Arabidopsis thaliana: one gene and its partners. The protein of the gene in region 2 interacts with the protein of the main gene of each other region in a pairwise test. Each region holds a gene or a part of one and is shown on either strand. Other genes may lie near its edges.

Evidence for each region. The genes of interacting proteins can lie anywhere in the genome.
Region 1: the proteins of AT2G41610 (region 2) and AT1G68380 interact in a protein complementation assay, tested with the Arabidopsis thaliana proteins (one large-scale study listed by BioGRID).
Region 3: the proteins of AT2G41610 (region 2) and HOS3-1 interact in a protein complementation assay, tested with the Arabidopsis thaliana proteins (one large-scale study listed by BioGRID).

The regions. Positions count from the first base shown.
Region 1 is NC_003070.9:25,634,462-25,640,049, forward strand, and holds AT1G68380 (Core-2/I-branching beta-1,6-N-acetylglucosaminyltransferase family protein), read right to left. Parts: upstream 3,002-5,588; 5' UTR 2,933-3,001; coding exon 2,393-2,932; intron 2,111-2,392; coding exon 1,472-2,110; 3' UTR 1,377-1,471; downstream 1-1,376. Other genes in the region: ARG1 (Chaperone DnaJ-domain superfamily protein), read right to left, coding at 1-66.
Region 2 is NC_003071.7:17,344,436-17,349,416, reverse strand, and holds AT2G41610 (uncharacterized protein), read right to left. Parts: upstream 2,261-4,981; 5' UTR 2,237-2,260; coding exon 1,304-2,236; 3' UTR 1,178-1,303; downstream 1-1,177. Other genes in the region: AT2G41600 (Mitochondrial glycoprotein family protein), read left to right, coding at 2,647-2,829, 3,087-3,424, 3,649-3,820; AT2G41590 (Ta11-like non-LTR retrotransposon), read right to left, coding at 4,714-4,981.
Region 3 is NC_003075.7:17,346,283-17,352,539, reverse strand, and holds HOS3-1 (GNS1/SUR4 membrane protein family), read right to left. Parts: upstream 3,323-6,257; 5' UTR 3,030-3,322; coding exon 2,255-3,029; coding exon of another isoform or gene 2,160-2,254; exon of another isoform or gene 1,913-2,159; intron 1,759-1,912; coding exon 1,607-1,758; 3' UTR 1,377-1,606; downstream 1-1,376. Other genes in the region: AT4G36840 (Galactose oxidase/kelch repeat superfamily protein), read right to left, coding at 1-374; AT4G36820 (calcium uniporter (DUF607)), read right to left, coding at 4,546-5,004, 5,094-5,651. UniProt on the Arabidopsis thaliana protein: Probable very long-chain fatty acid (VLCFA) elongase that controls VLCFA composition and functions to inhibit abscisic acid (ABA)-mediated stress responses, including regulation of stomatal aperture, maintenance of primary root growth and inhibition of germination.

The DNA of each region.
Region 1 (5,588 bases), on a different chromosome or scaffold from region 2:
AAGGACCTCGTACGGATCCCGTCGATTCGCCGGAGCCGACGAACCTTCAAGCTTTTTCGCGCTCATCTTCTCGAAGAATTTGAAATCACAAATGTTCAAATTCGAAGGGGAATTTGCAGATCCAACAGCGGCGGACCTAGAATAACGCGATTTCAGGTATCTTCAATCGAGAAATTGAACGAATTTGAAACCTCGGAAAAGAAACGATGAAGAAAGGAGGATCTAAAAAGCTCACAAAATAAGAGAGATTGGGGAAGAAGAAGATCGAGGAAAAAAAACGAAACAAGGGTTTCCGAAAAAATAAAAGGTACTATTAAATTTATTTTATTCGTTTTGGACAAACTAACTCGTTGATTTTTCATATTTAATTCGATGACTTTTTAAGGAAATCGAAAATTACTGATTTTTTTGTGGCCATTACGAAGTTTTATTATAAGAGTGATTATATTATTATTGATATTATTTTAATAATATCATTTGTGATATGGTAAGTCAAAAATTGAATTTTTGTAGAAAATGAATTGGAATTATGTTTTGGGTCACATAAATATATGTAAAATTGAATTTGAATGAATAAAAAAAAAAAAAAAAAAAAACTAAATATAGCAAAATGGAATAATCAATATGTAAATGGGGAAAAAATCAACAATTGTATAGAAAATTTTGCCATTGGTGGTGGTGCTTCTCATTAGGTTCTTGCTTTTTGTGCTATCTTTTTAGGTGTTTCTCATACTAGAACATGCTTGATTAAGATAAAATCTTCACATTTCTGTTACTAATAGTGTTTCTCTTGTCGAACATTTACGACTTTTGGCTTGAGAAGGTCTTGTTTATATGTGGTTTAGCCTTTGTTTCTGTTTCTACAACTTGATAAATTGCGTTTTGAGTGTTGCCCAAAAATGGATGTGTATTGAGCTGCTTAATTAAGATCTTCTTCACATTTCTTGGTGGTAGTAGTGTTTTCAAGTGTTTCTTTGGTTAAACATTTGTGGCTTAGTTTCTATCTCGCTTAAGAAGATGGGAGAAGGAGATTAAATATCTGACATGACTTTATTCTTCTTTGAGTATTCAGGTGTCTAGGCAAAACTTTTAGTCCTATTAGTAGCAATTTGTTCTTTTTTTTCTTTTCCTATTTTTCTCTTCTATAAGTTCTTACCATATGAGTATACATTGTCTGCAGAGTTAGGTGCTAATATGAATGGATACCTTCTCATAAATGCTAATGGAGGACTAAACCAAATGAGATTGGGGGGTCAGGCTTTTGTGTTTTCTCAATGTTTCTCAAGTTATCTTCTGTTTATAACTTGATGACAGGCTAGTTCCTAACTTTATCAAGGACTTTGATTAATCTCACATCCCTAGTACTGAAAGTAACTTGTTAAGCACACACTGTATATTTCACTTACTTAAAGAAGATTTGGTAGTTAAACCGATTGCATCTTTGTTTTTGGACGAAGGGGGAAGAGAGTGATCAGAAATACATGACGATAGATGCTAACCGGAGTAACTCATCCAAAGCAGTCGACGAAAACTTGCGAGCAAAGAGAAAGCAAAGTCTCATCTTATTTTCTCCATTTTTCTTACAATCACCAACACTCTTCATCCTTAGCCACTCCAAGAACTCCACATTAACCTCCCACTCACCAAACAATCTCGGGTGAGCCCTACGCTTGCTCCAGTCAGTCCAAGTAAGCGTCCTATTCGCGTTACGCAACCCAAGGCTCGGCCTCATGTTGAGTAGCGTCGGGATATAGTGCTCGTCGGGGCAGCGAGAGTAAGCTTTAAAGATTGGCCAGTAGAACGTATCAGAGACTACCTCGAGGGCCATGGCTCGGTCTAGCTCGAACCACTGAGAGCCTTTTCGCCATTGGTGCATGCGGATGTGAGGATACATGCGGCGGTCATAGCGGACGCGACCGATTGTGAGGTCGTAGGAGTCGACGTGGGTTAGAGTGGAGTCGATGAGGAAAGAGTAAACTGTGGAGAAGTTGAAGAGAGGGATGCATGATTCGGAGAGAAGAATGAAACGTTCGTTGTTGATGTCTAATAAAGCGTTTGCTAATAACCTTCGTTCTGCTTCTACCATGTTTGCGTTTCCCCAATCCACTCTCTGCATACGTTTATAGTTAATGACATTGGATTGATTTTATTTTATGTATTATAGTGTAATAATTAATATGTTTTCTTTTAAGATACCAAATATTCTTATATTTTTATGTAATTTACTAAAAAAGATAGGAAAAATATCGTATTCATGTACTTCGATCCGTTATATATATATATATATATATATATATATTATTTATAATATATTTATAAATTTTATTTATCACGTTAATTCCAAACCTATTAATGTATCGAAATAAATTTCTTAATAATTTGGGAAGCTGACCTTGCTTGGAATACGGCGGCCATAAAACACAGAGTCTTGCGGCATGAACTCGTCGTAAGACGAATTGGTGTGAACGTAGATAGTGAAAAGACCTTCATGACCTCGAAAGAACCTTTCCCATAGAGGAGCCAAAGGTAAAGGTCCCCAAGTCAAGAACATGAAAGCAACCTTCGGGATTCTAGGATAAGGGTAATCCCTGATCTTAGGATCCATTGAAGCTCTCCACAGAAGTTCATTATCTTCCATATCGTGCATGATGTTCTTCAGTGGTATCAGAAACATGTCAAGCCCATTGTCCTGAAATGAAGGAGAAAGAATAGGAGGAGGAGGGGTTACAAAGAAGAGTTGGGAGACACTTTGGATGGTTAACGAAGAAGGCGAAGATAATCCTTGTAGAGAGGGATAAACAATGATTCCAACTATCACGCCGATCCAGAGGATGAAGAAATACAAAAGGAGATTGTGGAAATGGTGGAGTAGTTTCTTGAGAAGCTCTATCACTTGAGATAATGGTGAGTTTTGGTCCTTTTGGGTCGGCATTTCCAACTACCGATACATGTGTAAGAGAATTCTTGTTTCCAATGTTTTAAGGGTTAAAAAGAGATACATGGATCTTACTTCCTAGTTGGAATGAGGTTAAAAAGTGGAGAAGAGCAAGTAAAAGTGGAGATCTTGTGGCGTGAGTGATTAACTCGTAAAAACAAAAATACACACGCAATGGAATATAACATTTTGAGGCAGTTTTTTGATGATCCAAGCAAAGTCAATTGGGTTATATACGTAGCATCTTATTACTACTCTTTCACTAGCATTAATTCTTTAAACTAAAATTACAAATTTCCTTACATCAATATTAATTTACTTTTTTAAAAAGATTGATAGGAGTAGACTAACCAATCTTTGTCTTTGAATGAACTATTTCGCTATATGTCCATGCAATATATATTTTTTTAAGTTCGTTTTCCCAAAATCATATTTCTTTGTTATAAGTGGATATAATATTGATGGTGGTTTAAATGTTTTACTTGTAGTTTCGCTATATACTTTTTTTTATCTCTTGGTCGCATGTTTAAGTTTATTGCTTTTACTTATTAATATACCTTATACCTATATGATTTATCATTCTTTCGTTTTTGCTCATAAGTTTATTGCATACCTTGTCAATAATATACATTATTTTCTGGTAATCGTTCACAAGACATCCTTGAAACCTCCACGTTTACATTGCTTAACGCTTGCAACAATTTCATTGTATATATAAAAAAAAAGATCGTAATGAAAACAATATGAAGCTTATATATATATATATATATAGCACTACAAGTTAAACCTAATTTGTTTTTTTTTATAACTACCGGAGTGACTTTATCTACAAGAATGAAAATGACGCAGCCATAAAAGCAGGATCGTGTAGATTGCTATTAAAAACCTAAGTGAACAAAGATGTGAATTTCATTTACTCGATGTTTATAGTATGCAATAGACATGGTACCAACTCTTACAGATAATATATTCAACCGCGTAGACATTAAATCAAGAGGTAAACTGGAGAAACAATTACATACGTGGGAAATAATTTTTTTTATCGAACGGCGACCTACATGCTTTGTCTAATAGTCTTTACCAGTTGAGCTATTGAAATTGGTTTCGTATGTTTTCTCTTAGACGAAATATCTCTTTTTGTATTTTTTTATTTATTTATCAAATGAAAGTGACAAACATTATTTGCTTAAAGCTTTTGTTAGAAAATTAATCTCATGTAACTCAGATATAGGATTTTTTCATGGTTTATCTTTTACTTCTTACAAAACTGTAGATCCATGGATGCAAAAAAAAAAAAATGATCCATGAGACTATGTGAGTGAAAAGGATTTAACCTATGTAATTAAATTGAAGATTTTATATATTATGTATTTTCTACTTAAGTAATAGATTTTCGAGGGACAGTTATATCAGGCCATTCATACAAAGCCATTAGAGTATTCAAACATTAACTATATACACAGAATATAATTATAGTTGATATGAAACTAAGTTGAAGTCAACCTTGCGAATTCTAAACTGAAAGAATATTACTTTTTTGTTTGGTTCAAATAAAAGAAAATTACTTGTTGCACTATATAAATATTGATAAATAAATTGATTGGTCAAATTTACGTGTAGTTGCACATTGTTGAAAGCTGTAGGGTGAAGAGACAATAATTGTGCAAACAAGTGGCATCAACCCTGGGAATGTCATGACGTAGTGTAGGAAAAATGCATTCCATTCCATTTGGGTTACAGAACCGTCATGTTAGACGAGACTCATGCATGGTAATGATGGCTGAGTTAAAAACAACAACAAATATGTGATCATTTGGGTTCACTAGTGATACGAGAATATGCGTTTTCCATCACGGCTGCTTCCGAGAACTTTACAACAACATATATGTGATCATTTTGCTAGCTATGATACAAATTCTAGAGTGTAAAAAATAAACAAACAATAGTATCATGTATAGCTAACAAAATGATCCACAAGGTGAAAGTAGGCTAGTAACAGTGGTATTTTCTAAAATTTGAAATTTTATTGTTATTCCGAGAACTTCACAACATAACGTATGAGCCCATGGCTGGCCAAATGAAGTAATGGTTTGGAACCCATTTTATGATTTTTTTTTTTTTGTAAATATATAAATAGCTATGGTATATTTAAACAAATATGGTTAGAAGAAAAGTAACAACTACGTTTTTAATGTCGATTTTATAATATATATATATATATATATGTATAGTTATTATTTTCTTAAAACAGATATAAATTAAATTTAAATAATTATATCTATATTAAAGGGCTCTTATTTTTTTTTTGAGAATATTACACTGTAAAACACTTTTTAAAAAACATTTCCGTGGTTAGACACTTTCTAAAAAGAAGGCACTTTGAATGTATAATTTGACCAATTTACCCTCTAACCATATATCGCTTTATCTCTCTCATCCACCTATTCTTTCAAAAAATAAACAAAACTCAAGCCAAAAAAATATATTTATACCTTTTTCTTTCTTTCCTTTTCAACAAATCATCAGCTTTTATGAGAAAGAGAGATTGAGATTCACCTTCTTTAATTTTTCGCGTGTGCTTTGATCTGACTTGAAGGAAAAAAATTTCAGACCATCAATTTGAGAATCTGTCCTATCTGGCTGATTTAGTTAC
Region 2 (4,981 bases):
CAGGAGAATCCAGACTCTCCATATCACACCAATATAAATTTCTCTTAGTGCTCTTCTTACTAGATCCTTCACCATACTCTCGGTGAAGTACTTTGAGTGCATTTTTGCTTATAAAGTTGTTTCTGGTATAAATCATAATAATAAAATAAAAACTAATTTCGCACAAAAATTCACTTGCGTACTTGATTAACAAAACCTTCTATATATTATTAGTGTTTGAGCAAATTGTTAGGGCTAGAAATATTTTTTTATGTAGACTAATCATTGATTGACAAAAAAAAAATTAAAAATTTAGACTAATCATTTATAGTTTACCTAAACCTACTTTACGCCGGCTTATGGTTGAATTCTACGTGGATTTAAGCATAAGTTTACAATAGCCATAGTAATTCGGTAAGTACATGCTTTTGGGTCCTTATCATCTCTATTGGTGTGGTCATATCTGAATAAGCAGAGCTACTACGGATCACGAATCTCTTCTTCTCGTATGTTTTATGTTTAAGTGAGGTTCGATCTAGAATCTCATCAATTAATATCAATAAAAGTACACCCATGATCAATGAGAACTCATGTAACAATAATCTCTGTTCGTAGGTTCTTGGGGATAAATTAGTCATCGGAATAGCATACCAGAGATCGACGATCTCATTAATCATTATGTATAAGTACAAACTTCGTAAAACTATCCAATGCTACAAATAACAATACAAGATAGTACAGTGGTACCACCTAATTATTGATATAATTCTATGACTTCTGAACTTGAATATGTATGTATGTATGGTTAGTCATATATTTATAAATCTAGGAATTTTATTTTCTTAAGGTTAATCTTCTTTAACAAAGTTTAAATCTAAAATTTAACATTGCATCGCAGTATATATACTAGCTGTAATATAATCTTGTTCAACATTAACATAACCAATATATTGAATTAAAAAGCCAAGACTTATTTATGCCTAGTAGAAGTAAAAAGTCATTTTTTTGTTCGGGTAAAGTGATGAACCAACTCAGAAGGCTTTCAAAAGCAATTTCCTAATGGAATATCTAGCAAATTAGCAAGTGTTACACCACTTTTCTATTTCTTCTTGTTTAAAACTGTAACCACTATCTTGCGTCATCTTGACACTACTACTTCTCACTGTTTTGATTTAACTATTTACAATAAGGATAAATATAAATAGATATAGAAGTAATGTTTAAGTTTTACCATTTCATCATCACATCCAATATAAACTCATCATTAAGCAATCATTTACATTTACTTCATCTTGCCTCTGATTTTTCCTTTTTGTTTCAAATTTCATGTGTCTGATGTCTTCTTACTCTGTCTCCGACTAACCAAACAACATACTTTTGTGATTACATAAACACATATCAACAGAAGAAGAAAACCAAACACAAAAACCCTAAACAAGATAGGCTCTTCAACAGGAGACATAACGGCCAAGTACACACAATCTCTTATAAGAACAAGCAATGTCAGTCCTTGCACAACATTTTTAACCACCAAAACTCTTTTATTTATTCCTTCTTCTTTGCATAACTTGCATATAATCCTCAAAAACAAAACACCAACCACCAAGAACGTTGTACTAGACCATCCTCGGTAAGAGACAATCTTCCCTCCCACTATTAATGGCTCTTTCCTGCATATACAAGACTTGCAGACTCCAGAGAAAGTAGATGTGACCAGAGCATCGAATCCTGTATAATAGGGGAGAATCACAGCGTCTAAGTAAAGACTAGCGTGGAGAATACCAGAGATAGTAGAGGCTTCGAAGAAGACAAAACTCGCTTCTTTTTCGATATTGTTCTCAAATAAAAGCACTGAGAGCTGAACAAGCTGTAGTATCGCAGGTCCAAAGATGGAAATTGGGAAAAGGGTATTGATCCTTTGACCTTTTGCAAGAATCAAGATGATCAAAGGAAGAGAGATTGGACCAGAAGGAAGTAAGTACCTTCTTGCTTTGTCATCATCACCATCATCATCATTTTCTCTTCTTCTTCTTGATATTACCTTCCTTACGACAACAATTAGCGTCGTCAAATAAGTAACCGTAACGAAGAAGAAAACTAGAACGTCGGTGATTTGAGGGTAGTCGCCGGCATAGATGCTGTCGCAGAAATAGTGGAAAGGACAGTTAATAGGATCAAGTGTGTCCTCGAATTGCCACTTTGTGCATTTGAAAAATGTTTTCTTTCTATCAGAATCCATTTCCCATTCTGAATTCATAATTTGTTTGTTTTTTTTGTTTTGATCTATATGTTTTTGGTTTCCTTAGAAGCTACACATATAGTTTATAAGGAGTGTGTGTGACGTGACATCATCATATGGTTGATTCTCTTTCATTGTCTGGTTATAGATGCTTGAACTAAAATGGATAATGAAACTCTATCTGAAATCTGAATTCTATCTTCATTTTTTGTTTATTAATACAAAAAATCACCCTTTGAATGAAACTATGTATTGAGAGAAGCCTTGATCTTCAAGGGAAATAAAAGTTTGGTGTGCAGCTGATGATTGATTGGTTCTGTGTAATTGTTAAATTGCATGATTACGTAACTGAGAATTCGGTTTAACCGTTTAAATTCCGGTCTACTGAAATTGCTACGGAAATAAACCGAATTAAACCGAACCGGATCATGATTCAGTCTACTTTAGTTTTTGTGCTCCGTAGATTGAGAGAAGCCAATTTTAGGGAAAAGAGAGAGATGAGGAAGTTGAATCCGCTTCTGAAACGAGGCTTGAAGGCTATTGAAAATGGTGATTTGTTGAAGATCCTCCAAAGTGAAATTCGTCACGAAATCTCCCATCCTCGTTTCCAGGTAAATTGTTGTCTTCCTCTTTCCTTCTTCTTCTTCGTTGCTCTCAGTAATCTCTCAATTGAGTTTTAAGATCAATGGTGCTCAACATTAGTTCGATCAGACTCTGTCAGTTTCAATTTCATTTTTCTGAATTGATGAACATTAGAGTGATTTACCAGATGGGCGAATTTGAATTTGATGTTGGATCTCATAAACCCTAGGATTTTAAGTACTTACATTCTACCTTTATGATTTTGCTTTGTGCTTGAACCCCACAGGGCGTTGAGACCGGTTCTCTAGGAGATTTCAAATTGGATTGGGATTCACCGGAAAGCCAAGATATTGTTCTGAAGAGACAGTTTGATTCAGGCGAGAAGGTTGTGGTCTCTGCTTTATTGCAACCAGAACCTATAGAACTAGAAGATGATTTAGTGTTTCCTAGGGAAGCTCATGCCAAAGTTTGTATCAAAAAGCCTGGTCTCAGCTCTATCTTGCAGTTTCATTGCCGGGTTTACGAATCAGGATCTGGATCTTCTCATTTCGACATCGAGAGCGCCTACTTTATCCGCTCTTTTGTTTCTGCTCCTTCTTCCACTTATGGAGACCATTTTTTCAGGTGAAGTAAGCTCATAAATGATAATCTCTCAACATTTTGTTTAAGTTACTTGAATCATATCTGTTTTACTTCATCCAAACCTCAAAGCATTGGGTACACTTCCCATTGTTCTTTCCCTGGAGTAATTGTTCTATATATATTGAAAAAGAAGTAGACTATTAGAGGTTCATGTGTCTGCATATGTTTGATTTCAATGACCAGTGTTATTTTCTTTGTTTCTTTAGCCAAGTAGATCCCAAACTACACAGTGCACTGGAGCAATACCTAATATCTAAGGGGGTCAGTGAAGGCTTAACTAATTTCCTTTTGTGTCACCTGAACAAGAAGGAGCAGGATCAATACGTTAACTGGTTACGCAGGCTTGAATCAACTATGTCACATTCTCCAAAGCCGTGAGTGTTTACTCCATAAGCTCATTTCTTTTCAAGTTTTGTTTTTGGAACAATGGTAAAATGCCTTAGGAGTAGTATTATTAGCTAAGAGAGTCCTTGCAATGGATGTTTTGAGGGAAGATGTATCGACGAATACATGTTAACTGTAATATTTCCAACAAATGGGACCCCAAATCGTATGCTTTTGAATTTTCAAGCAAGCTTGGTTTGATCTTTGATCTTTCAAGATGATTAGTCATGAGATAGTGAGTAGTAATCGACATCTACATAACCACCCTCATTCATGTATTTATCTTTGTAAATCAATACTTGACCTATAATGTCTTTTGATCTTTCTCCGAAAGGACTAAAAAGTGAGAAAATGCAATAAAAAAAAATTTACGAACAAAAAAAAGGCAAATGAGAGAGAACAAAAATTCGGAGCACGCAGCGTCAAGCAAGCATCACTTAACACTAAAAAGAACTTATGTTAGTAAAATTATTCTGGAAAAGATAAATCAGTTATTGTGTGAATACTATAGTGTTAACGTGACATAACATCATAGGAAAACGATAAAAAAAGCATAGATCTTGAGGTATCTTTTTTTTTTTTTTTCTCTCTGAACTGATATCTTTTCATTGATAACATTTTAAGTTCTTACAAAAAGTTGATCAGTGGACTTTCCACTTAAACATAAAAGGCAACAAGCCTATTCCAAACTGAAACATAAACTAAGACAATGCTGAATTTAAAGATAAGTAGGAGTATGTCCTAACCAAAAACCATACTCATCTATTATATCTTGAAGCTGCTTTTCTTGTTGACCTGCAGTCTTCAATCCAAAAGGAGTATCTTGAAGCTGCTTCCTTGTTAACCTGCAGACTTCAATCCAAAAAAAACAGAAGTTGGTAGAGTGTTTAGCGTTTCTTCGGAGGTTTCAGTATCCCTCCTGATCTTTGCACATAGTTCTGTTGATTGAGATTCCCAATCCTCTCTGACCCTCTTCTTAAATCCCGAACATCATGTCTTCTTGAGGATTGACCAGGTTCAAAGTGTCTTCTATCAGTTAGGTATTGTGGTTCCCTTCTTGGAGTTATGGAGTTTGAAGCTGAAGACAAGTCTTGTCTGAAATTGCTTGATTCTCCCTCACATCTGATGTGGTCATTCCTACCTGAGTCCAAGTGA
Region 3 (6,257 bases), on a different chromosome or scaffold from region 2:
AACTCATCTGGTTGGCACCATAGTATTCTACCGCGAGTAGCACGACAGTATAGTAATTTCCCAATGACACACCAATCGTGTCTACTTCCTACCTTAGAATCTTTTTTTCCGCTTTTCCAGATTCTACCTTCACTTGGCAAGAAGCTAAAGCTTTGGTCCTCCTCATCCACGGCGTAAACCTTCTTCTCCTCTATCACCACACTTTGGTTGATACTATGGGCCATCTTCGGCGTATTAAATATACCCCAAGTTTGGTAAACTGGATCGAATACCTCCGCCCAGTTTGAGGAATCAGCGTCCTCTGGGCACCCTCCAAAAACGTAGATCTTCCCGTCTATGAGGCTTGCCGATGCGGAAGCACGAGCCATCTTCATAGACGGGACGCGGTGCCATGTCTGAGAAAAACAGTTGAGGAACAAGACATCGGAAGTGGGATTGCCGTTTATGATTCCACCGATTACATAACATAGATCCCCCAATTCACTACCACAAAAGAAGATGATTCCGGAGCCTGATAGGGGTGCGATGGGACCGGCCTCAGTCGACGACTACCCGTAAGGACGAACCAGCGAGGGGTTGGATCAGGTAAGATGCGCAAGCAGACGAAGAAAGATGGCTCAGTGCAACCAATCAGCGATCGCGTGCTGCAGAGCTCAGGGGATGTTACGAGAGAGCGGTATTTCTTGGAGCGAGAGATAAGGCTGTTTGGTCCAATCTCGAGACGCGAGCCATGCAACTCACAGCCACAGAATCCGGTAATCCAGACCACGACGGAGACGCCTCATTCATCGTCTTCTTCCTTTTACTTTGCGGTGGCACTTCGGGGGCGTAATTGTACATCGTCGAATGCTCTCGCATTCTCAATTCACAACAACACAAATTTAGAGATCTCTAGATCCATAATCATCTGATTGATTGATCGACCTTTCTTGCCATAAATTCTTGATTGGAATCGAGATTTTGTGAAGATAGGCCGATTCGGACAGAAACTATATATATTTTATGGTTTTTACTTTTCTCAAATTAACAAATATTAAAGGAAAAGGAAAGAAACAAGTACTTGCGCTTCACTTTGTCGGTTACTTGTTGTACTTGTGTTTCACTTTGATCTGGAGAGATTTGAAATTCTCTCTCCTCGTCGCCTTTCAACAAGTTCCGCGGTTGGTTGCAAGAGCCTGGACTCTTTGTTTCTGGTTTGTGAGATTGCAGAACCATCGATCGAGAGCTTAAGAGGATTTTATTTTTACAGTGGAGAATCAGATTTCAGATGTGGGCCTTATTATGTAAGCTTTTTTACTATGGGATATGTCATATGTGTGCCTAGTTAAGTAGAAAACCGTGGCCTTAGGCCCATCTTGTTCTACAGTTATAAATGCCTTAACTTTGATTAAGTGTAGTAATATTATACTAGGCCCAAATATTAAATATAGTCGACATAGTTCATTTCCTTATACAATGGTCTAAGGCGAACACTCGACCATATTCGTTTGACCTGTACATTTCCTTATACGGCATTCAAACGGTAAATAGAAAATCAAAAGTGTGTCCCCAAGTAGAGAGATACAATTGCAGCTCTTACAATCTAACACATCAGTCTCAAACCATATTATGTTTTCTCGCTTTTAATAATTTTTCCTCTTATCCAAAATGCATTTTCACTTGGTAAAGAGTATAAGCTTTTGATCATCCTCGTCCATGATCCACCATGTAAACCTTTGTTTCCTCTATCACCACATTTTGGTGGGTATTGTGGTATATCTACGTCATAAAGTTACCCCAAGTTTGAGTCTTTGGATCAAAAACCTCTTATGAAATAAATAAATATTTTTAAAGATATATTTATAAATAATCGACATAATTTCTTTCCACTTAAAAAACACAAAACTAGATTTAAAAGAATGAAAAACAAGAACTAGATTGCGTTAACTAAGAGCCAATAGTTCAAATGTAAAATATCTCATGCAAAGTCAGAGATCGATGGTTTATAAAAAAAAAATTGTCCCGGTTTGAGAAGATGTACAGACCTAGACGCAGAACATTTTAGTTATTAGAAAACAAATTAGATTATACTTCAGTTTTAAAAGTGAAAGACAAAAAAGAAGATTAGATTTGTTTTATTGAGTAAAAAGTAAAAACTAGTAAAAAGGATCAATTAATTCTTAAGCGTTACGTTGGCTATTCATTTTATTAATATGGCGTCGCATTGGCGAATGCATTCTCACATAAAAGTTAAGAAAAAGCAACAAAATCGCACCGTTGAGAACCGAGTTTAAACCCCACGCGCCAATCCCATTGCATCCACCTTTAAAGAGGTGCATCGTAAGAACCCCAGCGTGAGACACGAGATTACAGCCCACGAGAACCAACTGACAATTCACCACAAACGAAGGGAAAGCCGAACCGGGTAAACCAAACCCGGTCCAGAATCTATAACCGTAAACCACCGAGTAAACCAGAGTCGTCGATAGAATCGCTAGAATCTGGTACGACTGCGAGAATTCTAGCCAGAGGAAAGACGTGAAGGCCATGACGGAGTTACAAAAGAGCTGAGACACGGCGAGCCTCCGGCTACGTAAAACGGCGAAAATCGTACGGAACATGTGGAGAAAGCGCGTGAGGTAAAACACGTATGACCAAAAGAAGACACGACCAGAGGGACGAGTCCCGAGAGGGAAACAGAGAAGCCATTGGAGAGGAGTGGCGGTTTTGCTCCGCCGCCATAACCACCGTGTGTCACGGATCTCTGCGGCAGCGGAGAGGAGGATTCCGGCGAAAATGGTGGCGGAGAGGATCGACATGAGAAGGCTGTGGATTTCGGGGATGTGACCTAAAGGAACGGAACGGTTACTTCGGCGTACGGCGGAGAGGAGGATGTGGAGGGAGGATGAGACGGCGATATAGAGGGAGATTGATGTGAAGAGGAAAGACCACGTGGAGCCCCATGATTGGCTGTTACTCCAACGGAATCCGACGATGTATGGATGTTCGGAGAGGAAGTAGGTAATAGAGTTAATCAGAGCCGTTGACATAGTTTGAATTTGATCGTACGGTGGTGGTGATCACAGTGACTCTTCTTCTTCCTCTGTTCCTCTAGTCCTGTCTTTTATATGTGTGCGTGCGACTTTTTCGCAAAGTGAATCTCTGTTTCTGCTCTTATTTTTTTTGTTGGGATATTTAATTTCCATTTTCCAATAATTGTTGTAGAACATACAGTAGGTCACTAAATGGCCGGTCTTGTCATGAAAGCAAAATGATGTGGACCAATATTAATTGTCACATTTACGTGACAAATTTAATTTGGCTACATAAATGAATATTGTAAAACGGTTATGAAAATTTTTAAGATTTATGGTCTTAATGGGGTTTTACTGTTATTGTCGAAAATCGAAATAGCAAACCATATTTGAAATATCTTCAAAAAGATCAGAAAACTTGGTACGCGTCAAGTTGACCATTACCATAATCGAAAAGCAGGTGGGAAAACCAAAGAACCTCTAGACACGAAAGAGAGTTTGGTGTTGAGAAATTCAGACAAGCGTCAATTTACAGATGCCTTCATGGTTAAGTTTTAAGTTTTACTCAAGGAGCTACAGATGAGAAAGAGTGCATTACGTAAAACAAAATGCAAATATTGGAATATGGATCGGGCGATCGTTACGAAGATGAATCTACATCAGTAATCAGTAACGAGTTAGTATTAAATTACTATTTCACACAATTTGATGACCAGCTAAGACAGAAGATATTTGATACGTATCAAATAAAATTAGTAGAAATCAAATTGTCCTAATCGTTATATTGGCAATAAGCGTTATAGTACCACGTGAGTAAACAAAAATATTAGATACGTACCAAACAAATGCGGCAGGAACAGTGTAATATATCTCTTTTTCACTATGAGGAATTTGGTTTTGTCCACTTGATAGTATTTTCCACAAGTGACTCTTTTCTTTAGTCTCATTTTCCAGAAGTGATTCTTGACCTACCAAACTAAGTATTTTATTTACACGGTCGTAGTTGATTTCTCGTGAATTAATTAAAAGGAGACTTGGACGGTGAACTTACAACGACTACTCCCACGCATAACATGTTCTATCAATCATTTATGTAAGCCCGCCGAAACAATCATTAAGCATATGTTATACTTGTTTAATTTATAAACTAAAAATCATTTAAGTTAAAACTAAAACTAATTTCGGAATTGGCTTCAACTAAGATTTAGGCCTCAAATGACAAGGTTTTGTTGAGTTTTTGGTATAGATAACATGTTTAAAGTAATGATATCTCATATGCATATGCATGGAAGTATTGTAACATTTAACATTCAGAAAGTCAGACTTGAAATTTATAAATCTACATCACAATCGATTCTTTTATCTACTCTTCCAAATTACATAAGCCGCACTAATAGAACTTTTTTTTTTTTTTTTTGTCTTTTTCCTATTTTCCTAGAAAGATTATGAAATATTCAAAAATTATAGTTTGACACAATTTTGGGGGTCAATATATCTTTCTCAGGTTAGTAGGACAACGAGACACCAATGATCAATTCTGTAGAGATCCAAGAATCTTGGGAACAGCACCTGAAGGCTTGGGATTAAACAGCTTTTTCAGCTCATCATACCTCCCAACATCAAAATCCTCAGATTGCATCAGTTTCCTTTGTTTAGCCTCAAACCTGCTTTGGTAAAAACCTTGAAAGGAAGGCTCTCTCGATGTCTTGAGGAAAAATGTGTAACCCGCCATGAAATATACCGATGAGACATAGAAACAGATCGGTTCCATAACATCCCATGTCAGGTCCCAAAACGTTAGCCTCATAAACCCTGCGGTTTGGATGATCAAGTAACCCAAACCAGCCCAAAGCTCTCTTCTCACCAAAGAATGTGCTTTTTGGTCAATGACCGTCTTTATAGCTTCAAGCTCATTTAGCTCCTTTCTTCTTGGGTCATTCGGGTTATGGATTTGTGATAAAGGAAGAAGCCCCTCTATGGATTTGGTTAACTGATCAACACACAAGACCTTATCAGAGAATTGCATAGACAAAAAAGAATTCAAATGGTAAAAAAAAGCAAAGAGGAGGAAGAAGTTACCTGATGAGGTCTTAAACAAACAGAGTTTCCCATAACGATAACGTTTCCTGAATCATCAAGCATCTTAGCGATCAAAGCTCCTTGAGAAGGATCCAAAGAAGAATCACTACAAACACCTAAGAAATCTGAGTAACGAATCCAGATTTTTCCTGTCTCCATCAGCTTCGTTTTAATAACTTCGATCTCTGCTGCTCTTAGCAACTTCTTCACGTCTTGCACAGTAAGCCCTAACGTCTCCTCCTTCGGATGAGAAAGTCCGTCTAATCGAATCCGATCCTTGTTCATATCCATTTCTTTAAGCTTCTCCATCAGACTCTCCCCAATAGACATCTTCGAAGTCGTATCAATCCCATTCATGGAGAATTTATTCAAAAACCTCTGAGAAATCGTCAAATCTCCAGGCTCTGGATCAATCGTGGCTTCTCCTATATCTTTAGGAACCCTAGTTCGCATGGCTAACGAAGAAGAAGACGAAGTACGACAGTTCATGAGACTTTGCGACGCCGTTTTTGACATATTGAACAAACGGTTCGACAAAAGCTTCTTCATCATCACCATGACGAACAGAACAAAAAAAAAATACGAAAAATCGAAATCCCAGAAAGGAAGAGAAGAAAATGAATTCGATTTCAGTTACTACTTGAAAAAATGAAACAGCAAGAGCGAGCTTTATATAGGTAACCAAAGTTCTCTGTTACAGTTTTAATTTTACGTTTAACATAAATCTTGTGGGGCCTTATACACGTCAGCAGATATATCACGAGAAATTCAATAAACGCTGCCTTTTCGTGAATATTGATAGGTGACTACCGTCCACGTGGATAGATTTATGTTGGTGATAGCTTTCGATGCCTCAATAACCGTCCGATTAAATTTTAAAAAGATATAATATCTTGATAACTTATTTGACTATGAGTAAATTACACAACAGAATTAAAAAGAAAGGCAAAAACGTGTCGCCACATTTTCTGTTTTATCTTGTTATTATCTCTTGCATCTAGTAGTAAATGGTAATGTTGAAGAGATGATTTTTTGAGATGTAATAATGTCTATATAAGGAAAACTTAGTAAATATTTGAAACAATGACGTGTTGCCACATTTTTCGTTTTTATCCTTTGCACACCTAATAAAGAGATAACAAATGTGATGTAATGTGGATGTAA